Linked DNA regions of Alligator mississippiensis. The protein of the gene in region 2 interacts with the protein of the main gene of each other region in a pairwise test. Links are inferred from orthologs where the notes say so. Each region holds a gene or a part of one and is shown on either strand. Other genes may lie near its edges.

Region 1 (7,067 bases), on a different chromosome or scaffold from region 2:
TCAGCCTCCGGAAGAGAAGGTTGAGAGGCGACCTTGCGGCTGCCTATAAGTTCATCACCGGGGCACAGAAGGGAATTGGTGAGGATTTATTCACCAAGGCGCCCCCGGGGGTTACAAGAAACAATGGCCACAAGCTAGCAGAGAGCAGATTTAGACTGGACATTAGGAAGAACTTCTTCACGGTTCGAGTGGCCAAGGTCTGGAACGGGCTCCCAAGGGAGGTGGTGCTCTCCCCTACCCTGGGGGTCTTCAAGAGGAGGTTAGACGAGTATCTAGCTGGGGTCATCTAGACCCAGCACTCTTTCCTGCTTATGCAGGGGGTCGGACTCGATGATCTATTGAGGTCCCTTCCAACCCTAACGTCTATGAATCATCTATGAATCTATGAAAACTCGGCCACAAGGGGGCATGTGCCCCTGACTCGCTTCCTGCCTCAGTTTCCCTGTGGTCTCCCCCCACCCAAGACCTGGGGCAACACCCAGGCATCTGGGCTCCCAGCCCCCCAACTTTGCCCCAGCACCAGGTACAAGAGGCAGGAGCTGACTCAGACATTAACCATTTCATTGCCTGCGGCTCTGCAGCCTGGGGGGGGCAAACTGCCCAAGACCCCCCCGGCCTGCCAGGCCTGGGAGCGGGCTCAGAGCCCCCGTGGGCCCACCAGCACATCCATGAGCAAGTCCAGGTCATTGATGTCCAGGCCCCCGTCCTCAGGGCCCGGCGCCGCCTCGTCCTCGCCCGGCGCCGGCGCCAAGGCCTTGAGGCCGGCAGGTGCCCACAGCTCGCCGTCATACATGGAGGTGTCGATGTCCTCGAAGACGCCCTCCAGCCCCTCGTCCGGCAGAGGGGCCAGCAGTGCCCGTGCCCCGCACTCTGCGCCCCACAGCGCCGGGACCAGGCTGCCCGCCGGCTCCAAGTCCCCCAGGAGCCCCGAGACGGACGAGCCGAGCGAGACGTCCAGGCTGGGGAGCAGCATGGCAGGCCCTGTGCCGAGAAGGATGCCAGAGCTGTCCAAGGGGGCGCTGGAGCCGTCCAGTGGGCCCGTGGGCCAGTCTGGGAGGGCGCCGGAGCTGTCCAAGGGGGCGCCAGAGCCCTCCAGTGGGCCCATGGGGCAGTCTGGGAGGGTGCCGGAGCTGTCCAAGGGGGCGCCGGAGCTGTCCAGAGGGCCCGTGGGGCAGTCTGGGAGGGCGCCGGAGCTGTCCAAGGGGGCGCCGGAGCCATCCAGTGGGCATGTGGGGCAGTCTGGGAGGGCGCCGGAGCCATCCGGCGGGGCGGCGGGGCAACGTAGGACAGTGCCAGGGGGCTCGGGCGCCGCAGCCTCCGTCTGCATCTGGTCCTGGAGGCGCCGCAGGGCGTTGGTCACGAGCACCAGGGGCCGCAGGTCGGGCTCCACGTGCCGCAGGCTCCGGTGCAGCTTGACCACGGACAGGCTGAAGAGGGAGGTGGCCGGGGCGGCGGGGGACGCGGGGGCATCCGGCCCTGCGCTCTCTGCGGTGCCGCGCTTGCGCTTGACGCCCTTGTTCAGCATGGCGCTGCGAGGGAAGGGGAGACTCAGCACCGCGCCGCGGGGGCTCGGGCACAGGGGGCGGGGCCGGACACCCGGGTTTTTTCCTGCCTCCCCGCCCCGGTCTCGCGGCTCCCATGGACCCAGGCTGCAGGTGCCATCACTGAGGCCCGGAGCAGAGGGCTCCCCCCCACCCCTGTGCCTCAGTTTCCCCACCCCGGTCCTGCCCGGCGCCGGCGAGGCGGGGGCGGGGCGGTGAGTCAGGCCGGCCCCGCCCCCCCGTGAGTCACCGCCCGCGCTCCCTCCGCTCCGCTCTGCTCCGCCCCGCCCCCGCGCCCCGGTCCCGGCCCCCCCCCGTCCCGGCCGCCCCCCTCCCCTCCCCGCAGCGCAGCCCCGAGCCCGGGACCCTCATTTACATACCCGCTCCTCAGGGGCCAATCCGCGGGGCCTGGAACGCGGCGCGCAGCCAATCAGGAGCCGGCATCCCCCCCTCCTCTCTTCCCCCGCCCCCCTCCACCGACCCGGCGCCGATCCTCGCTGCCGCGGCACGCCCGGCCCCAGCCAATGGGCGGGGCCAGGCCAGGAAAAGGGCGGGGCGCGGGCCAGCCAATCGGAGCGTGGGGCTGGGGGGCTTATTTGCATTCCGTGGGCGGACGGGGGAGAGTCAAGGAAAGGGGAGAGGAAGGAGCGCGAGGCCCCGCCTGCTTCTGCCTGATAGGTGGAGGCGAGGGGGATTCATTTGCATAGTGGGGGGCTGACGTCAGCGGCTCCCCGCGGCGCGTGGGGGGAGATGAGTGTGTCCGGTCTCAGCTCACAGCAGCCGCCAATAGGCGGGGCGGGGGTTGGGGCTCCGGCCTCCCCCGAGCCTGGCACCCCCGGGCACCCCTGTGCCAGGCGGGTAGCAGAGGAAGGGCTGCGGCGAGGAACCGAAACCGCAGCACGCCCTGCTACGCCCGCCTGGCGCCCAGCGGCCCAGGGGGTGCAGGGAAGGGCCCCCCGCCGCAGGCAGGTGTTGAGGCCTGGGCCTGGGCACGTGGCCCCTGAAGCGGAGCAGGGCCTGGCACGGCCACGGGTCCTGACCTACGCCTGCACCCCCCGGGGGGCCCAGAGGGAGCCCGGGCTTTGCCCCTGCCCCCCAGACCTCGTAGTGACCGCGGAGGCGGACGCAGACCCTGCAGCTCCCCGACTCCCTCGCCTCCACCCCATGGGCCCCGCTGCCCTCTTCCACCCAGCCATTCCCAGTCCCGATCCCCCATGACCTCTGCCCCCCCATGGTTGCCCCTGCATCACATGGTGCCCCCCATGACGTCCCTGCCCTGCACGGTGCCCCCCGGGACCCCGATCCCCCATGACCCCTGACCCTCCACGCTGCCCCTGCCCCGCCTGGTACCACCCCATGGCCTGTGCCTCCCATGGGGCAGCTCCCCCATCACCCCTTCATGGTGCCTCCTCTTTCCTGCCCCCCCCAGCCCTGCTCCCTGATTGGAGCTGGCGCTGCCATGGGGATAAAGCAGCCTGCAGATCCCAACATGTCCCAGGTGGAGGGGGGGGGGGCAGAGTGGGGGGGCTCAGCGCAGGGCATGCTGGGACATTTTGGCCTCCTGCCAGGCCCCCTCCTCCCCTGGTGGGGCTCAGCAGCCCTTGTGGGGTGGGAATGGGAACCGGGACGCCTGGCAGGCTGCGGGGTCGGACTCGGACCTGGATGCCCGGGTTCTCCCCAGCCCAGTGGCGGAGTGGGGGCAGTGCCTCAGTTCCCCCAGATGGCAGGTGCATCACCCGGCTCCCTTCTTCAACCCCCCCAGGCTCCCTGCTGCACGTGGGCAGCTCCCGCAGGGAACCCAGGTGTCTGGGCCAGGCCGGGAGGGGGGGCGTCAGGCCAGGCAGGTGGAGAGCGGCTGGGAAAAATCACTGCGGTTTAATCATCCCGGGAGCGTCAGGCGCCGGAGCAAGCAGGGTGGGCAGCCGGGGGCCGGGCTCACTCCTTGGGGTAGTGGCGGGAGAGGTAGACGTTCTTGCCGTCGTACTGGGCCGTGCTCAGGCACTGCAGGAAGAAGTGGCCCAAGTCGTGCTTGGAGATGACGCGGGAGCCGCTCGCTGCGTTCACGGTCACCGTGTAGTCCCCGGTCAGCGGCTGGTCACCTGCGGGGGCAAGGGAGGGTCAGCAGGGGGGTCCCCATCGCTGCCCCCCTCCCCCCCAGCCCCGGCACACACCGGCGATGTGGGGCGGCATGACGGAGACGCAGTCCAGGCCCGAGTCCTGCAGGATGCGGTGCATGCGGATGTGGTCGTCGGTCACGGGCTGCAGCCTGGCCGGCACCTTGGCCGGGTCCCACATCAGGAAGGCTGCGGACAAGGGGCCACCCGAGCTGTGAGCTGCGGGCACCCGGCTCCGAGCCCCTGATGGGAGCCAGGAGTCTGGGCCCCCAGCCCTGCTGCACCCCTTGATCCCACCCCACCCCACCCCCTGGCATTAACCCCTGGCAGCCCAGAGCTCACCCGACAGGCACGCGACCACCTTGCGGATCCCGTGGGCCTTCATGGCAGTCACGATGTTCTTGGTGCCCTCGGACATCATGGTGGTGGGGCCTGGGGGGCAGGAGGCGGGTCAGGGGGCAGGAGACGGGTCAAGGGGGCAGGGGGCAGGGGGCAGGGGGCAGGGGACGTACTGAGGTCATTGCGGGTGCCCAGGATGATGATGACGGCGTCCTGCCCCTGCACAGCCCGGTCCACGGCGCTGGGGTCCAGCACGTCGCCCACCACCACGTGTGCTGGGTGCAGGTCCGGGGGCAGCCGCGCTGGGTCCCGCACCAGCACCGTCACCTGGTAGCCTGAGGGGGGAGAGCGGGTGAGCGTGGCCCGGACACCTGGGTTCTCCCCCGGCTCTGGGGGGGGCTCCCGCTCCCGTGGCTCAGCGCCTGTCTCGCTTTTGTGCCGCCCATGCCAGCTCCGGGTCTTGGCTGGCACCCGGCCCAGGCAGCAAGGGCCGGGGTGGCTGGGTGCCCAGCTGCCTGTTGGCGCCCGCTGGGCCCAGCGTGGCGCTGAGGTTAGGCCCTGGATTGGCCCGTGCTCCAGCTATGGGCTCACGCCCCCGGCTCGGGCATGTGGCAGGCGAGCAGCTGGGGACACGTGACCATGACTCAGCACCCTCCCAGCTGGGACCGTGACTCAGCAGAAGCCACCCTGGCGCGTGGGGACCTCAGTGGCCCTGGGCTGGCCCCTCTTGGCCAATGCCAATGGGGTTTGTACAGCACCTGGCACCCCGAGCCAGTGCCCTGCTCCAGACGATTGCACTGACCCACCTTTTGGCCACCCGGTGCCAACCAGCCCCCAGGCGCCCCAACCTGGTGGTGCTGGGGCCCTGATCCCGGTTGGGGTCTGGGTGGCACCAACACCCGATCCCCAAGCACCGCTGCTGGCGGGTCACGGTGGCACAGCGGGGAGGGGACCCAGGCGTCCGGGGGGCAACAGCAGAACTATCTCTGCTGGACGTGCCCAGGGCAGGGCGTCCACCAGTAACGGCCTTGCTTATCTCCCCACGCCATGCGCCGTCCACACCCCCCTGGCGCGGGCTCGGGGGCTCCTGCAGCTACCCCTGGCGGGGCCCGGGGCATCGGGGGGCCCATCCAATGCCCCCTCCCTGCACCCCCTGGGGCTACGTCTGGGTGTCCCTCCGTCAGCTGCCCCCCTGGGGGTGCTCGGGGCTTCTGCCCAGGGGGCAGGGGCTCTTCTGCCCCCAGCGCCCCGGGGGTTGGCTCGGACCCCCCGCGCCGCCCGCCCTACCGGCCTGCAGGGCTTGCGCCAGCGTGGCCAGCCCCGTCATGCCCGTGGCCCCGAAGATGACGATGTTCTTGCAGGTGGCCATGCCGGCGGTGCGGGTGCCTCTGTCACTCGGGTGTCCCCGCCGCGGGCCCTTCCGCGCGCTCGGTGCTGCGAGCTCCACCCAGAGGGGCCGGGCACCCGCAGGGCCGGCCCCTGCCAGCTGATGCAGCCGGTGCTGGGGAGGGGAGGGCGGCCGGGTGCCAGCCCTGCCCTTGCGGCTCCCACCTGGGCCTGGGGACGGCCCCCGCCTGCCTGAGTGTGCAGAGAGCCTGCACCCCGCAGCACCCTGGGGGCGGGGCCGGGCAGGGGGCGGGGCCGGGCACCCCGGGGACCCCGGTTCGGGTCCCGGCCCCCCCGGCTGACCCGGATCGCGGGGAGCGGCCGGCGCAGGACCCGGGGGGGCGGCGAGGGGGCTCTGCCCGGGGATTGGCTGCCGCGGCCGGCGGCGCTGACGAGCGGCGGGGCCGGGCCGGGCAGGCGGGCGGAGCCGGCGCATCCCTGGATGCTGCAGCCCGGAGCCGCGACCGCGCCCGCGGCCCCGGTGAGACACGGGGGGGGGGCTGCGTGTGCGTGTGTGTGCGTGTGTGTGTGTGTGTGTGCGTGCGCGCGCGTGTCTGTCTGCATGGCTGTGCATGGGTACGTGTCTGCACGGGTGTGCCCGTGGCCATGGGTGTGTGTGCATGCGCGTGTGTGAGAGCGTCTGGGTGTGTTTGTGCATGGGTGTGCATGACTGTATTGTGTGCGCGCATCTGTATGCATGCATGTGCGCCAGGGGGGAGGCGTGTGTGTGCATGGGGGCGCGTGTGTGCATGCGTGCCATTGCACATGGGAGCAGGTGCACATGTGTGTGTGCGTGTCGACGTGCCCTCTCCCGTGGCAGCGTGCCCCCCTGTGCAGGCGTATCCTTGCATGCACCCACACATATCCTTGCCCGTGTGTGTGTGTGTGTGTGTGTGTGTGTGTGTGTGTGTGTGTGCAGACCCATGCATCCCTGCCTGGGGAGAGGGGGGCCTGTGGGCCTGCACACGTGTGTGCATGCATGTGTGAGCCCCCCGCGGAGGGCAGCACCCTCTCCTGCTACCCCCCACTTGGGGCGCTGGAGCCGGGGCCTGGGCTGCCCGTCCCTGCCGCTCCCTGCAGGCCGGGGGGGCAGCAGAGGCCCCGGAGCTGGAGCCAGGTGGTGGCTGGGGGGGCTCCATGCTGCGCCGGGTGTAGGCCCAGGCCTCCGAGCTGTGATGGGGGGGGGGGGCTGTGTCAGCTGAAGGTGATGGGCAGGGAGCCAGCCTTGGCTGGAGGGACAGACCGGGGATGCCGGGGCTTGTCCTGCGGGCAGGGGCTGGAGCTGCACCCTGGGCTCCCGGGCACCCCCTCCCAGCTGCCGGGGCCGGAGCAAGCCCCAGCCCCAGGAGGGAGGCTGGAGCTCCATCCATCTGGCTGCAGCCGCGGCCTGGTCTCCACCGTGCTGCCCAGCGCGTGTACATGTGGGCACAGACGTGCACGCGAGTGAGCCAGGGTGGAGGCTCATGGATGCTCTTTTTGCAGGGCACCAAGGGTTAATACCCCACCCCGGACACCTGCCTTTTTCCTGCTGTGCCGGGGTCCGGGTCTGTCTGGGGGTCCCTGGAGCCTTGCGGGGGCTGGAGGGGGTGGGAGGCCCCTGGGATGCCCCAGTTACCTCTGGGGGGTATGCAGGTGCACGTGTGTGTGCATGGGCATGCATGTATGCTCCCGTATGCGTATGCATGTG
Region 2 (7,647 bases):
CTGCTTAATTGCAAATTAACCCCGTAGCTGCTTGACTTTTCATCACTTAAAATTTTCTAGCTGTTTAGTGTTCTGCTTCTGCACACAGCCACAAGCATCTCAGTCTTAACAGGACTATGCAGCTCAGTGCCTGTTTCACATCTGAACTCCAAACTAACCATTCCCTGCCTATGTCCCATGAGTGGCCCGATGTGGTAGGCATGTCTGAAGTACATCTAATATCACAGGACTGGGAATTACACAGGTTGTAGCCATATCTGCCACTTCCATTCAACTATGTGGCAGAAGTAGTATAGGCATACCCCTAATCTCTCTTTGTCTCAATTTTCTCAAGTGTAAGCAGCACCATACCTAGACTCCTGGCAGCCCTGAGCGAATTTTTACTATCAGGCCCTCCTTTGCCAGAGATAATGATACTAATAATAATAACAATTACCATTTTCGGGCCTCCTTTTTGTCCGGGCCCCAGGCAGCCACTGAGTTTGCCCATGCCTATGTCCAGCCCTGAACGTAAGATAAGAATAATTATACTTTCTTTCTCCTATTCATTGTTATTTTGTTGGCATAGATTTCATACTTTTTTCAGAGTGACATTTGTCTCTTACTTTGTGCTGATCCAGCAACTAACACAGTGCAGCCCTATTCTCATTTGGGTGCTGAAGGTGTGGCTATAACCTATTGCATCCCTCTCTTGTGCTCTTTCCAAGAAGAAAGCCACAGAAGTAGACATCTTTCATTCAAGCTGCACAGACTTTCTAGAAGTCCCTGGTTGATTCCCTGCTGATTGAGCAGATGATAACTGGCACACGATCAGGAACTTTTCTGGGATTCAGGCTTATTAGATATTATTTGGCTTACTGTAGTGTATAGGAACTCTGATCATAGAAAGAGCTGTGATAATGCTGGCTCCTGTATGAACAGAACAAAAAGATGGTCCCTGCCACAGTGAGCTTATGATCAAAGTATAAGAAAGAAACTAGGATGCAAATAGTTTTGTGTTCAAGAAAAAATAGGATGCATTTGTCAGCATAATAAATATGATAACTGTACCTGCTGCCCCTTGAGATAATTGCCAAGCCTGACCCTGGATAAAGTGAGCAGAAGACTGACCACCCAGCTGTGTAAGTCCACGGACATGGAAATGTACTATTGTTCTGATAAAAATGGTTGCTCAGCAGAGAACACTGATGACCCTTCCTGCCATATGAAGGGTCCTGGTGAAATCTCTCTCTCAGGAGTTCAGAAACCTGAAAAAAATGATCTTGGGAGCAAGAGAATACTTCAACAGTAGTTGAACAGGGGTAAACAATATTTACATTATTATGAAATTGCAGCTAATTGAAACAATAGCTGGAATTCAATTGTTTATAGAATTCCAGCTAAGATCATCAGACCTCATACAAAGATGACTGGTTCTATACTTTTAAAGAGGACTTCAATAACAGGATGGCTTAGCATGGACACTGATGTGAAATAGAGATATGTTCTTTCTTTGCTACCATTTGGCATAGCCATAGACTGGATAGCAGAAGGTACAGGCAAAACAAATGCTAACATGCCCTGGGTAGATGGCAAATGTCTAGAAGACCTAGACCTTGCTGATGACATTGTGTCGCTGAGTGACACACTTAGAAAGCTACAGAGAGAGACAACCTGGCAAAAGTTGCAGACCAAGCAGAGGCTCAAAGTCAACTACATCAAAATCAAACAAATTCCTCCCCAAAACAAAAACAAAAAACCCTTCTTGAAACCCAGGAATCAAGTAGATATATATCAGAAAGCAGATGCATAACTAATAGCACCACATTATTCAATGGACACCTCAAGAAGAAAGTGACAGGAAAGACAGGAACAGCATTCTATAAATCACTAAACTTAACTTACGGAACTGGAAGCTATACAGAACCAGAACAAATCTGGGAATTTTCAGTTCAAATGTAATCTCTGTGCTAATGTGTGGCTGTGAGAGTTGGAGATCTACCCTAATATGAGACAGGAAAATAGATGGCTTTGAAGAGAGGTACTTACAAAAGATTCTCAACATTGAAAAGAAAGGTTTTATCATCAACAAAGTGATCCAACACACCATCAACCAGCAGTTCATTTTCACCAGAACCAGACTGATGGGTTTCATTTGGGTGCCAAAACACAGACTTACATAGGAAGCCATCCAAATGAAACAGCTGTTGTGAAGAAAAGAGATGTCTAAAAGAAAACTTAAAAAGAGTGTTTAGCAGTGAGGGCAGAACAGCACCATGGAACAAATGGAAGCAGCAGTAAATGACAACAGGAATAGAGACTAGTTTCTGCCCTGTATACCAACACTATTACAGGAATGTTGTAATATGCTGGTAGGCAACGGTTTCCATACACCAGAAGTTTAGCCTTTACCATGTGCTTAGCAAATGTGGTTAAGACAAGACTCCTCTGTCTACCCCACTAGGACCTGTCAAGAGTAAGTACTTGCCATATATAGTAAGTGTTTGCTTTGTATTTATCCTAGCAAATGTGAATTTGTTTCAATCAGTCCGGAGGTCGCACCAATTGTTAGGGCACTTTTGATGTAGCAATAACTTTCGCCAATCTTCCCGGTCTTTTGCAATTCTTGTACAAAAAGATTGTACAAGACTGAGTTTGTTACAGTTCTAGGCTAAATAGCTTGGTTCATTAGTTTAAGTTATTCATATAGATGCCTAGGATTTAGAAGAGTCAAGCTGAGTTCATAACCCTGCCACAGCTTTCCCATGTCACCTGGGAAAAATCACTTAATTGATCTGTTCCCAAGTTGTAAAAGACAGACACCTGCCTCTTTTTCTAGCCATATTCAAAAAAGGGACTGGACAAATTCTTGGAGGAAAGGGGCATCAGTAACTATTGAGAATGGGAGCTAGGGGCATGGCCTCTGAATCAGAACTTCCTAGATCTTAAATGCTGGAGGCTGCTAGTGAGAGAGGAACAGTGAGAAAAAACCCTGGTCATACCCAGTTCATTCTTCCTTTCAGCATCTGTTCTCTGCCACTGTATAGGTTATTGGGCATATATCAACTGGTTTTGGGGGGACAACTAAAGAGAAAACTGTGATGGGAGTGAGGTCATAGGTTCATAAATGGTGGGTCTACACAAGACATTTACTATGCTGTAGCCTAATTAGCTGTGCAGTAAACACCTCAGCATCTACACATGCCCGCCCAATTAGGCTGCAGTAAACTAATTTACTCAGTAGCAGGATAGTACTTGTAAATATTTACAGGTACTATCCTGTTGTGGAATAAAAAACTCTGCAGCAGTGAATGTGTAGATGCTGCCTCAGCTGGCTGGGGTGTGAGGATACTTCAGTGAGGAGGCTGTCTGCCAGCTAGACCTGTGCTGAGGCACCCTTGTGCTCCAGCCAGCCCCTCTGCAGCACGCTGACCCTCCCAGCTGGGGTCCCTGCTATCTGGGGCTGCTCCAACCTGGCTCAATGTGCTACAATCCTGGGCACGTGTGCAAATGGTGTGCCTGGAACAATAAACTCAGGTGCAATAAGTACCGGAGTTTATTGTACTGTGTTAATATGCATGTATAGATGCACCCAAAGAGTGCACCAAGGGGGAACACCGAGCAGAGCACACCGGACAGTGCCCACTGGCCCTTGAGCAAGTAGAAGCCAGTAGACACTGCTCAGCAATACTAGGCTGGGAGATGGGATCAGACCAGGGACAGGAAAGTGGCCCTGCAGTCCCCAGAGGTCCTTTTGGCCAGATCTTCTTCCCTGGTGAGATACATTGCGAGCTTGGCTAGGGCCAGGAGGAGGTCCCACAGGCCTACGTGTCACCCTTTAAAACACATAGGCCCAGCCTACCAAGTCTCTCATTGGCCTCCCTTAGGCGGGGAGGCTACAGGAAAAGGGGACAACAGATTTCTTGGGACAAATAATGAAAAAACAGGGAGGGGAGTGCGGCTCAGAAGTTCAAAACAACCGTGCTGAGTGGGGACACCAAGCAGAGCACACCAGACAGTGCCCACTGGCCTTCAAATGAGTCCAAGGAGCAAGTGGACACTGACTAGTGATACTCTGCTTGGAGATGGGAGCAAAGCAAGGTGAGGAAAGCAGCCCCAGAGTCCCTGGGGACCCTCCTGGCCAGAGCCTCCTTCATGGTCAGGTACACGGCCAGCTTGGCCAGGGCCAGGAGGAGGCTGACCGGAGGTCATGAGGGAGACAGGGTGAGATGAACCTAGGGGCTGAGCCAGTCGATGGGAAATCTTCTGTTCTTAGGCTGGCTTTGGACTCACAGGCAAACCACCTCTCTAGAAGAGGAGCTGTGCAGCTTGCACTTGCTGGACTTCACTAGATGTTTTGAACGTGCATGAGAGAGACAGAACGAGTGTGAGAACATGTGCAAGTGAGAGAGAAAGTGTATGTGTGTAAGAGAAATGTGTGATTGCAAGAACATATGAGCGTGAGACAGAAAATGTGCGTGGGAATTCGTGCGCGAGAGAGGCGGTGTGACTGTGAGGCGGGCGGGGTGCGCGCGGAGCCTAGTCCCAGAGCCCCGCCCGGGGCAGAGCGAGGGCGGGCCGCGCGGGGAAGCAGCATTGCCTTTTTCGGGCCTTTCCCGCCGCTCGGGGCGGAGGCCGCCTCCCCGCCCCGCCGCGCCCCGCCTGCAGTGTCGGGGCTCGGGCGCAGCAATGTCGGGCGCGGAGGCGACGGGGTGGCGGGAGGAGGCGGAGGCGGTCGGGGAGGAGACGGTGCGGATCCGGCTGGGCGAGCGGAGCTATGCGGTGTGCAAGAGGAAGCTGGTGGAGCAGAGCGACTACTTCCGCGCGCTGTACCGCTCGGGCATGCGGGAGGCGGCGCCGGGCCGGGCGGAGCAGCAGCTGTGCGGCGGGCTGAGCGCGCGGGGGCTGGAGCTGGTGCTGGACTTCATCAGCACGGCCTGCCTGGCGCGGCTGGAGCAGGAGCAGGAGCGGGAAGGAGAGGGCGGCGGGGGTGAGCCCGGCCCGGTGCTGCAGGAGCTGGTGGAGGCCGCCTGCTACCTGCAGGTGACCCCCCTGCTGCGCTTGCTGCGCTCCCAGGTGCGCCTCGGCAACTGCCTGCAGCTGCACGGCTTGGCCCAGCTCTATGGCCTGCGGGACCTGCAGGAGGCCTGCCTGGACTTCATGGCTGCCCACTACCACCCTGTGCTGTGGCAGGCCCGCCTGGTGCTGCCACCCGCCCTGCGCCAGCATCTGGCCCAGAGGCGTATGCGGGGCGCCGCCACCCTGGTGGCCGTGGGCGACTTGGCGGGGCGGCCCCGGCAAGAGGAAGGGCCGGGCTCCATGCTGCGGTACGATGAGGTGGCTCAGCAGTGGCTGCCCCTGGCCAACAATCTGCCTCCGGACCTGGTGAATGTGCGCGGTTATGGGGCGGCAACACTGGACAACTACCTGTTCATCGTTGGGGGCTACCGTGTCACCAGCCAGGATATCTCGGCCGCCCACTGTTACAATCCATGCTTGAATGAGTGGAGTCAGAGGGCGTCCATGAACCAGAAGAGGTAACCTCCCTCCCCATCCCGCCTCATCCCCTGCAAACATGTACAAGCGGTGCGTTAGCGGCGGTATTGCCAACTCTCATGACTTTGGGCATTGTTCTTCAAGTCTAGGCTTCGGGAATGTGAAAAATCTAGCACTTTCTTTTATATATATTTTAAAGAACTAGGCTTTTTGCATTCTTTAATTGTGGGTGAACTATCCAATGCTTGGTGAATTCTGCTTCACAGTGATAGGAAGCATAGACTTTAAGAACAACGCCAAAAATCACAAGAATTGGCAACGCTAGAGGTAAAAATGCCCTGGAGTCATGGACCCAGTAATAGAGGGACCAGTTTGCCATTACTTTGAGCCTAGTCATTCACATCTCACCTCCTTTTGTGCTGGGGTGAGTGGTGCTCCATGGGGTGCTGAACAATGAGGAATTTACCTGATAGTAGCAGTGCTCAACCTTTTGATCCATGGGCCAGATGAGAATATGGAGCCCATCCATGGTTCAAATGGGACCCTGCCCACCAGGAATGGGGCCTGAGCTGCCTCTACCCAGTCCCATACAAGAGGATTGAGTTCCAGGGGCCCCCACATGATGGAGTTGGGACCAGTGCTGCTCTGCATGCTTACTAGCATTCACAGCCACAGCACGCAGGTCTTCCCACAGATTCTTGGGGAGCCCTATAGGCCAGATGACACGGCATCGGGGGTAGAGCATCCCTGGCCGATAGAATCCAGTAGGCTGTGTGGGACCGAGCTTTTAAACATGATTTTTTTTCTTAAATAGAACTTTGAGGTAGAATAGTGAAGGCAACCCCGGTAACCCTCTGTTCCTGTACTCAGGTTTCCATCTGCACATGGAGAAATCCAGCTGGTGTCAATGAGAGACCATTTGGAGCACAGCAGGCTAGAATTTTGGACAGAACGGTTTTCCACTGGAAATTGCAGTTTCCTTAACTTTGAAATTGGTTTCCCCAACTAGCTTGGTTTTAATGATGGTTTTCCCTGGACAAGCTGGTGCAGTGTTTCCTCATCTTATTCTGATGACTAAAAATTTTGGGGACAAAATGCTTTGGTTTCAGTTTTCACTTTTATTCATTTGTTTTTTGGCTAACACATTTCATATGTTGTCATGTCTCATTATCACAATGAAATATTGGCGTTATCTCATTGAAACAAAGCATTTTGATGTTTCATAGCCAACATTTTCAGACTTTCCAGTCTGTAGAAAATTTCGATATTGCACTCTGATTTGGACCAAAAACTAAAGTGAAACGTGAGAATTTCCCATGGAACTGAAATATCATTTTCTAACCAGTTCTAGTCAAAGTTAAGTCTCGTCTAGTCCAATTATTATGCTCATTGTACATGTAATTGCAGGCTCCAGTCAGATATTGTGCTAGGTTCTGTACACGCATGCATTTCAGTTTCTGATCTAGGGAGTTTGCAGTCAGATTTCTCTGAGAAGGTTGTCTATCCTGAACTTGGTTCCTTCCAACCTTACCGCTTGTTCCTGTTAAGTTATAAAAATGTACTGAAGTAGGGCAGACCATAATTTCATTCTAGTTGTCACTAGAATTAGTCAATAGAATTCAGTATTTTTCAGTTAAGGGAAAGTTCTTTCTTTTTCTTTTAATTCACCTGGTTGAAATTAATATATTTAGTTAAAACATAAATTCCTCTCAATAAGACTATGATCATGTACCAAAGGGTGGAAGAACCAGTGCCTGACATCACTCTGGCAGATAAATCTCTCAGTGTCTTTGACAGCTTTTGTTACTTGGATTCTTCAATCATCAGGAATCTTGACTTTCAGACTAAAGAAACACAATCGGAAAAGCAGCTAAGAATTTCAGGCTATTACAGAAACATGCATAGAATAACAGCAGACTATCAGATAAGGTGAAGATGCAAATCTATTAAATTTGCCTGCTGTCATCCCTGCTTTATGGTTTGGAAACATGGACTACATATTCTAGGTACATCAGGAGCCTGAGCAATTGTGCAAGATCCTGAAAATCATGTGGGAAGACAAAATGGCAAACAGAGGTGATGGACCATGCAGGACTGACACACTTAGAAAACACTGTCCAGAAAAGAAGGTTGTGATGGCTCTGCTGTGTCAGGAGAATGGGAGGAGACCAT
Region 3 (7,502 bases), about 88 Mb from region 2:
TCCTGTAGCCTCTCATTGTAGGGTCTAACCTGCTGTCCCCCCTGATCATCACCTGTGGCCAGGACCAGGTCCAACAGGGTATTTCCTCTGGTGGGACTGTACACCTCCTGGGTTAAGCGGAGGTCCTGTATCTTGGCCAGGAACCTCCTGGAACGGTCCGACCTGGCTGACTGCTCCTCCCAGCAGATGTCCGGGTAATTTAGATCACCCATGACAACTACATCCCTTGCCTTAAGTGCCTCTGCAAGCTGGCCCAAAAATTCCCGGTCCAGCTCCACCCCTTGGTTGGGGGGTCTGTAGTAGACCCCCACCGTTAAATCCCTCTCCCCAAGACACCCTTGTATATTGATGATTATGATTAAATTATGTAACACTGTACACCTTCGGCAGTGTATTTCTTGATGATTATGATTAAATTCTGTAACACTGTACACCTTCGGCAGTGTATTTCTTTTTAAATTATGTTTAAAAAACATAGAGGGAAGCTCTGGGCCTCCTGCAGCTCAGGGGCTGCACAACCCGATGGCAGCTTGCGCGGGTAGGCTCTGCTAAGACAAAAGAAAAAAGCAGCAGTAATGAGCCTGATCTTTTTTTTTTTGCTCCCAGAGACTGCCTGCAGTCTTCTGTGGCCAGGGAGTGAGCTGCTGGTGGGCTGTGCAGCCCGAGTTGTGGGGGGACCCTGGTGCTTCTTTCCGTGGTGGCAGCACCCCCCGGGACAACCCAAGTGGGGTGCTAGTACATGGGTGCTGCCTGGGGGGCCCTGCCACCACAGAGGGAAGCACCAGGGCCCACTGCAGCTCAAGGCTCACTGGCCATAGTAGAGGCAAGAAGGCTCCAGAAAAGAAAAAAAAAAGATTGGGCTCCTCACTGCTTTTTTTTTTTTCCTCTAGCGGAGCCTGCCCTCTCTGTGGCAAGGGTGTGTGTGTGTTATGGAGCTGACGGGGCTGTCACTGCTGTCATGGTGACGGAAGTCCCTAAATTGAAACAGTGGGTTTTAATCAACACAAAACCCCACCAATTCAAAACCGGCCATTTCAATTTAGGAAGAACTAAACTCCCAGCACGTGAACAAATGGCCACAGAGATTAAGTGGAAGGAAGGGGTGGGGGTGAACCAACCATGGAACAAGGAAATCAAGAGGAAGGGACCTCAACTAGGATGCACTAGCAGACACACAAAAGGTAAGAGAGAAAAAGATGGCAGGAGGAAGGTGAAGGAAGGGAAAATGGGCAGGTATCCCTGGATCCCCTTCCCAGTCTAGTAATGATGTAGGGGCTCTGTTCTACACAGCAGGTACAATCATCTTTCCATTGCATCCATTAATCTCTCAAAAACCTTTTCATGATATTTTCTTCTAACTCTAAGAAATATATACAATTGTATCTTGTTCATTGCACAGTTCATAGATGGAAAACAAGGAAATAAATGTGTTTATTAGATCTTTAATAAGGAAGTGACCTACTGTGAAGAGAGAGATTGAATTATACAAGGTGCTACATGTATTGTATTAAATCAGTAACCAAAGTGTTAATTGTTTAAATATATTCAACTTTTATTTTGCCTTCCAATCATGGATCACCAATTCTTATACATTAATAAGGCACATAAGCTAGACTACAGTCCACCTGAGATGCTATATTCTTATTTGTTAGAAGAGCTTCATTACAGAAAAAAATATTCACAAACTTATCTTGTTATGACTTGTATAAAGTATGTTTAATTAGAAAAGCTCTCAGAATTGCTGGCTCTCAGTGCTATATTGACTCTCTTACTTCCTGTGACCCCTTGTTTGTGAAAGCTAATTATTTTTTTAAAGAAACACCAGTTTGCACACTGTCATTGTCTGGTACACAAAAGTCTTTTTTCACTAATGAGGGTTAAGTGGCTTAATAAATTTCTTACAGTCAACAGAAAAACTTGTAAAAAAAAATCCTCCTGTCCAGAGAGATTTAGAGAAAATTCTTTTAATAAGTCTGCAATATGGATTCAATTACTATTGTACAGAAAACTCACTACAAACTACAGTGCTAGATACAAGAAAAAATCATAACTAATAGAAATATGTATTTCATTCAACATTGAAGCTTTCCAAGTATACCATTTTAATGTGTTAAAGATACTGTTACAGGGTGGTGTCTTTTGGGTGTTTTAACTGAATAACATAAGTCATGAAATATAACATCATTGTAATAAATCAAGTTATATAAAGGCATCATATTATGCATAAAATACTGATTGCAAAATCATCCCACTGTTTCATGTGTCATTTGCTCTTCATAAAAGAGCATAAACCATTCCTATGAAGTTGTTAAAATGTGGGTCAGTTCAGTTCAAGCCTTAAAAAGCTGTCATAAATCCCACACCTGTCTGACTTTTTCCATCATTGTTACAAAGGACACCTGTTACAAGAACTGAGAGAAGAAAACTAAATGTTTATCTGGTGTGTTTATGGCCCTATCTAGTTATACTCAAGGTGTAATTAACCAAGTAATCAAGCAAGTTGTGAGCTGGCTACATGTTCCACCAATTAATGGCATGATAAAACAGGCAATAAGCTACAAAGTTATTCCACAAAAAATATGGAGTAATATAGATTGTTCTTATGGTGCCATTGTTTAAGGAGAGGGGCAGGTGTTCACAGCACTTCTTATGGAGCAACTGTCACTGTTTATCCTATTTAATCACCTGTTCTGTTTGCCGGCATCTACTGTAGACATGGCAGAAAGAAAATATCCTAAAACGTAGTGGAATGAAAATTGGCAGAGGAACTGAGGGGGAGCGGGAGTAGTTCCTAAAATCTATCAGGTCATCTTTAAGCATAATTAGATGTAGCTTCAAGTGCCTGGTGTCCCTCTGGTGTTATGAAAATACCTTAGGACAATTATGAAATCCATCTAAAATGAAGCACACTGAAACGATCCCTCATACTGCTGGTTATGGGACAAGCTGAAAACACTTGAAGAAGCCGATCTTGATCTCACAGTCTAGTACAAAGATGCGGGGAACAGAAATGGTCACACGTAGATACTCTCCTGGGGTTGGGGCAGTGTTTCCAGGCTGTCCAGGGCCCTGCTTGGCACCAGGCTTCTGAGCTTAAGTCCCCCACACAAAGGGCTGAGCTGCTTCCCGCGCAGGCAGGGGTCTGGGGAGGGAGATGAGCACGTCGGTGCCCACTGCCCAGATGCCACCGCTGTTCTGGCAATCAGGACTTGTGGTAGAGATGCTCTCTTTTATTAGACCAACAAGATTTTTGCAAAATCTTGTTGGTCTAATAAAATGCCCGCTGTTCTGGGCATTTGAGGGAGCCCGTGAGTGCCTGGCGCCTCCTGAATCTGGGGGTGCACCCGCAGATTTTGCAAAAATCTTGTTGGTTTAAGAAGAGAGATCATCTCTACTATAAGTCCTGAGTGCCTTTTCTTCTAGACCAATACGGCTACAACCTGGATACCCGGCACACAAAAGATATCAAATTTTAGCTGATTTCTGAAATGAAATCTTCGTACTTTCCCAAGTAGGAAGCAACTGTGACCGCCTGAAACTGCAGATCCTGCTCTTGCCTTTGTTTCAAGGTAATCTGCATCAGCACAGACCCCGACAGGAGGTGAGGCTCCTTACCAGCTATGAACCGACTGCCCAGACGAGTTTTGCATCTATCGACTCCTCTGTGAAATCCTATGAAATATGAATTTTCAATTCTACCCAGGGGAACTTTATTTTTTCTCCACTGCCTGATGAAGGGTGTCTGGGCCCAAAAGCTGGCCATTAACGAATTTATTTTATTTTTTTTCAAAAATCTTGTTGGTTTCATTAATCAAAGATATCACCTCTGTCCACGAGCCCCGATCGCCTTTTCCTCTACACCAACATGGCTACAACCTGGATGCCCGACCGCTGTTCTGGGCACTTGAGGGAGCCCGTGAGTGCCTGGCGCCTCCTGAATCTGGGGGTGCACCCGCAGAAACCGCCGACGGCAACGGCCCGGGGGGGAGGGGGGGGCACGTGCACCCCCTACCAGTCGCCTATGGAGAAGCCTCTCCCGCCACTCAGACGAGCCCCCATCGCGACCGGCCCGCGGCTGGCTCCACCCCGCCCCGCCCCGCCCCGCCCACCAAACACGTCAGAGGCCGCAGAGACGCAGCGAGGCCCCGTGGGGCTTGGCTGCCCCCTGCGGGCCGCGCTGAGAACATCCCGCTGTCTACGGCCCCTGGCCAGACCCCGCCGCCTACAGCCTTGCCTTCGCTCCAGCCCCGCCCCCGAGTGCGCGGGGTGGGCGTGGTCGCGTGCAAGCGGCGCTGGTCTCTCCTCCTCCGCTCTGAGGCCCCCGGGGTCTAAGCCGGTGCCTGACTCTATTGCCCCGCTCCGAGAAGCCGCCCGGCAGGTGCAGGGCCCCGGGTGGGGGCTCCTCCGGCCGCAGGGGGAAGGTGGTTCTTTTCCGCGGGTCCCCGTGTTTTGGGTCAGGCGCGGCGCGGACGCGAGCGGCGGGGCCTGCGCGGCGGCGGCCGGAGCCGGAAGCGGAAGCGGGCGCGGGGAGGGGCCCGGCCGCGGGGAGCGAGCCGCAGCCGCCTCGGGCTCCGCCATCGTCGTCGCTGTCGTCGTCATGCCGCTGTTCACCCCCAACCCCTTCGAGCAGGATGTGGGTGAGTGCGCGGGGCCGGGGCCTGTCTCCGTGGGCCGGGCCTGAGGGGGGCTGCCAGGGCGGGGAGTGGAGGAGCGGCTCCCTCCTGCCCTGTCACGGCAGCGGCTCCCAGGCCGGGGCGCTCCTTCCCTGCGGCCGCCCTCCTCCAGGCGGGGGCTTGTCGGGATGCCGCGGGAGGCGAGCGCTGCCTCGGATAAACACGGCTCTGAAGTCGGGGCCACGCACGTCCCTGAAGTGGCGGAGGGCGGCGGGTGCTTGGAGGCCAGGGAGGGTTGAGACCCGCTGCTGCCTCCTCTCCCCGTTCCCTCTTGCGCAATACCGGGCGGACTGTAGGTCATCTGTCCTGTCTTGCGGGCGTTTATCCTCTCATCTGTTTTTGTAGTTCAGGTTCCTGCTGTTTGGGAAGACACACAGGTTTTTAATGAGAGGTGTTGCTATCGTCGGGTGTTCTAATGATTGTAACATCTGTTTCCATAGAGCTGCACAGCAGTTAAACGCCGACCTGCAACCGTGTCTGCTGCAAGCAGGTTTTCACACCAATTGCCTTGTTTCTCTCTGTAGCATGTAGTGGGCTGAATTGCCTAAATTGGGGGTGTCAGATAGAGGGGCACTGATATATCGGTCCATATCAGATCGGCATTGATAAAAGGAAAATTGATATTATCAGCAACCGCCTTTTTAGTCGGTGTAGTTGGTGGCATCGCCGATAAATGCCACGTGAGCAGCCAGGAATGCAGCCTGGCAGCTTGGAGACCAGCGCCCAGTGGGTAAGTGTAGGGGGATAGGGTGAGGGGGCAAAACAAGCAGCATCTGGGGGGAAGGGGTGTGGGGGAGAGAACGGGGGTGGGGGGGGAAAGCGAGGCCCCCATGATGAGGGAGGGAGTGGGCAGGCGCAGGGCGTGGGACAGAGCCAAGGGGGGCATGGGGTGGGGGGGGGCAGTTCCCAGCCACTTTGCTCACCCACGGGGGAGGCATGGGAGGGGCATGTACTCTCCGGATTTGTGTGTGGGGTGAGGGCGGGCTGCCTGCTGTGGGCTCGGGGCTGGGAGCTACTGGGAAGAGGCCAGTGCAGCCTCGGGCCCTGAGCACACAGTGGGCAGCCTGCCCTCGCCCCATGCACAGATCTGAAGGGCACGAGCTCCCCATGCCTCCCCCAGGGATGTGCACAGTGGTGGGGAGCTGCCCACCCCTTCTGTGGCCTCTCCCCACCCTCCCACCCCCCCAGATTTGCTGCCCACAGCTCTGTCCTATGCCCCACTCCACCCTAGCTGGTCAGTGCCTGCCCCTGCCCCAGCCCAATTCTTTCCCACATCATGGGGGCCTTGATCTCCCTCCCCCATGCTCTCTTCCTCCCACAGACTTACTGGCTGGACACTGGTCTCCAAGCTGCTGGGGTACGTATTGGCATTCAGAGCAGTATCGGCCAACGTGGCTGGTTAAGAATTGGCTGTTGGTATTGGGCAAAAAAATCTTTATTGGTGCATCCCTAGTGTCAAATGTATAACCTGTGGGCTGGATCTGGCATGAGATCAGCTGTATCTGGGCAGGCCTGCAGGGAGATCCATGCTCTGAATCCAGCTCGGGCCCCAGGTAAGTTTGGCAGTCCTGGCTTAAATTTCTTGCAGAGTCAAAAGAGTCACTCCTAGCTGGTCACAGTTTTGAAGTCTGATCATTTTGATACTGTAAGAGGAAAGTTTTGGGAGTTTAGACCCACATGGACTATATTTAAACCCTGAATACTACAGAAGTTATTGGTATTCAGGTTGTAGCTGTATTGGTCTGGAGGAAAAGGCAGTCGGGACTGGTAGTAGAGGTGATATCTTTTATTAAACCAACAAGATTTTTGCGAAAGAAGTCTTTAATTGCAAGCTTTCAGGCACAAACACTCTTGATCAGGCATTGGAGAAAAGATTGTAAAAGTTCTCCTGGGTAGAAATGAAAGCTCATATTTCATAGGATTTCACAGAGGAGTCAATAGATGGAAAACTCTGGGCAGTCAGTTCACAGGAGTTATTGTACCTTAGAAGTGAAATGTCATTTATTATAGGAAACTAAGCTTTGAGGCTTTTTTCTTTTTAAATTACTACTGCGTATGTTTCTGTCTGAACATCATTTCACTGGCTTATGCATTAGTTCCTGAGCTTGGCGTAGTCTGTGTTTAAAACCTTTCTAGTTGATACGCTACCTTTTTTTAGATGACATGACTCGTAACAAGTGTTATGCTCTTATGCATCTTACTTGCTTAGTCAAACTTTTGGGAGTTGCTTATTTTATAGTCAGCAGATTAAGAAAAAGTTCCATGGCTAGAGTCTAAAATACTTGATATCTTAAGGACTTAAAGCTTTGGTAGCTTTTTTTGTTTGTTTTTTTTGTGGGGTTTTTTTTTTTTTAAACAAGACGTACAGCTAGCTAGCAATCTGATCTGAAAGATACAGGATTTGCTTGGTTTACAAATCTAAATGGATTTAAGTCAGTGTACTTTGTATTTCCTCTCTGGAGGCCTAGGGTGACATCTTGACCAAAATGAAGACAGTAGGACCAGGGTTTCACTCCTTGTAAAACATCAGCTGGAAATTAATTTTATGGCATCAGATTAATCCTTGGCTGACATCTGTCTATTACAAAAATTACCAGGCAGTCTTGACAATGAGGATGGTGTTGACTCTGGGCCTCTGTGTGCTATATTTGCCTGTATAGCCTACGGATCATGCCTTCACTATCCTGAATACTGACCTTGTAGTTTTAAATACCTGTTTTAAATTAATCAGCACTGTACATTTAATTGGAAAATGTTTAACATAAAAACAATTTTTAAGTTGGCAATTTTAACAGAAAGCAGAGTTAAGCATTCTTGGGATTTTTGTCA

What was found.
Region 1: the proteins of KLHL42 (region 2) and SERTAD1 interact in binary tests that used the Homo sapiens proteins (3 or more experiments, as listed by UniProt). The two-hybrid records come from large-scale screens. The link is inferred for Alligator mississippiensis from reciprocal best matches to the Homo sapiens genes KLHL42 and SERTAD1.
Region 3: the proteins of KLHL42 (region 2) and STAM2 interact in binary tests that used the Homo sapiens proteins (3 or more experiments, as listed by UniProt). The two-hybrid records come from large-scale screens. The link is inferred for Alligator mississippiensis from reciprocal best matches to the Homo sapiens genes KLHL42 and STAM2.

The regions. Positions count from the first base shown.
Region 1 is NC_081838.1:2,495,822-2,502,888, forward strand, and holds SERTAD1 (SERTA domain-containing protein 1), read right to left. Parts: upstream 2,740-7,067; 5' UTR 1,922-2,739; intron 1,530-1,921; 5' UTR 1,526-1,529; coding exon 638-1,525; 3' UTR 545-637; downstream 1-544. Other genes in the region: BLVRB (flavin reductase (NADPH)), read right to left, coding at 3,477-3,640, 3,713-3,844, 3,998-4,087, 4,168-4,329, 5,282-5,363; SPTBN4 (spectrin beta chain, non-erythrocytic 4), read left to right, coding at 5,823-5,861. UniProt on the Homo sapiens protein: Acts at E2F-responsive promoters as coregulator to integrate signals provided by PHD- and/or bromodomain-containing transcription factors. Stimulates E2F1/TFDP1 transcriptional activity.
Region 2 is NC_081827.1:138,674,288-138,681,934, forward strand, and holds the start of KLHL42 (kelch-like protein 42), read left to right. Parts: upstream 1-4,547; 5' UTR 4,548-4,668; coding exon 4,669-5,516; intron 5,517-7,647. UniProt on the Homo sapiens protein: Substrate-specific adapter of a BCR (BTB-CUL3-RBX1) E3 ubiquitin-protein ligase complex required for mitotic progression and cytokinesis. The BCR(KLHL42) E3 ubiquitin ligase complex mediates the ubiquitination and subsequent degradation of KATNA1.
Region 3 is NC_081827.1:226,524,771-226,532,272, forward strand, and holds the start of STAM2 (signal transducing adapter molecule 2), read left to right. Parts: upstream 1-4,499; 5' UTR 4,500-4,597; coding exon 4,598-4,637; intron 4,638-7,502.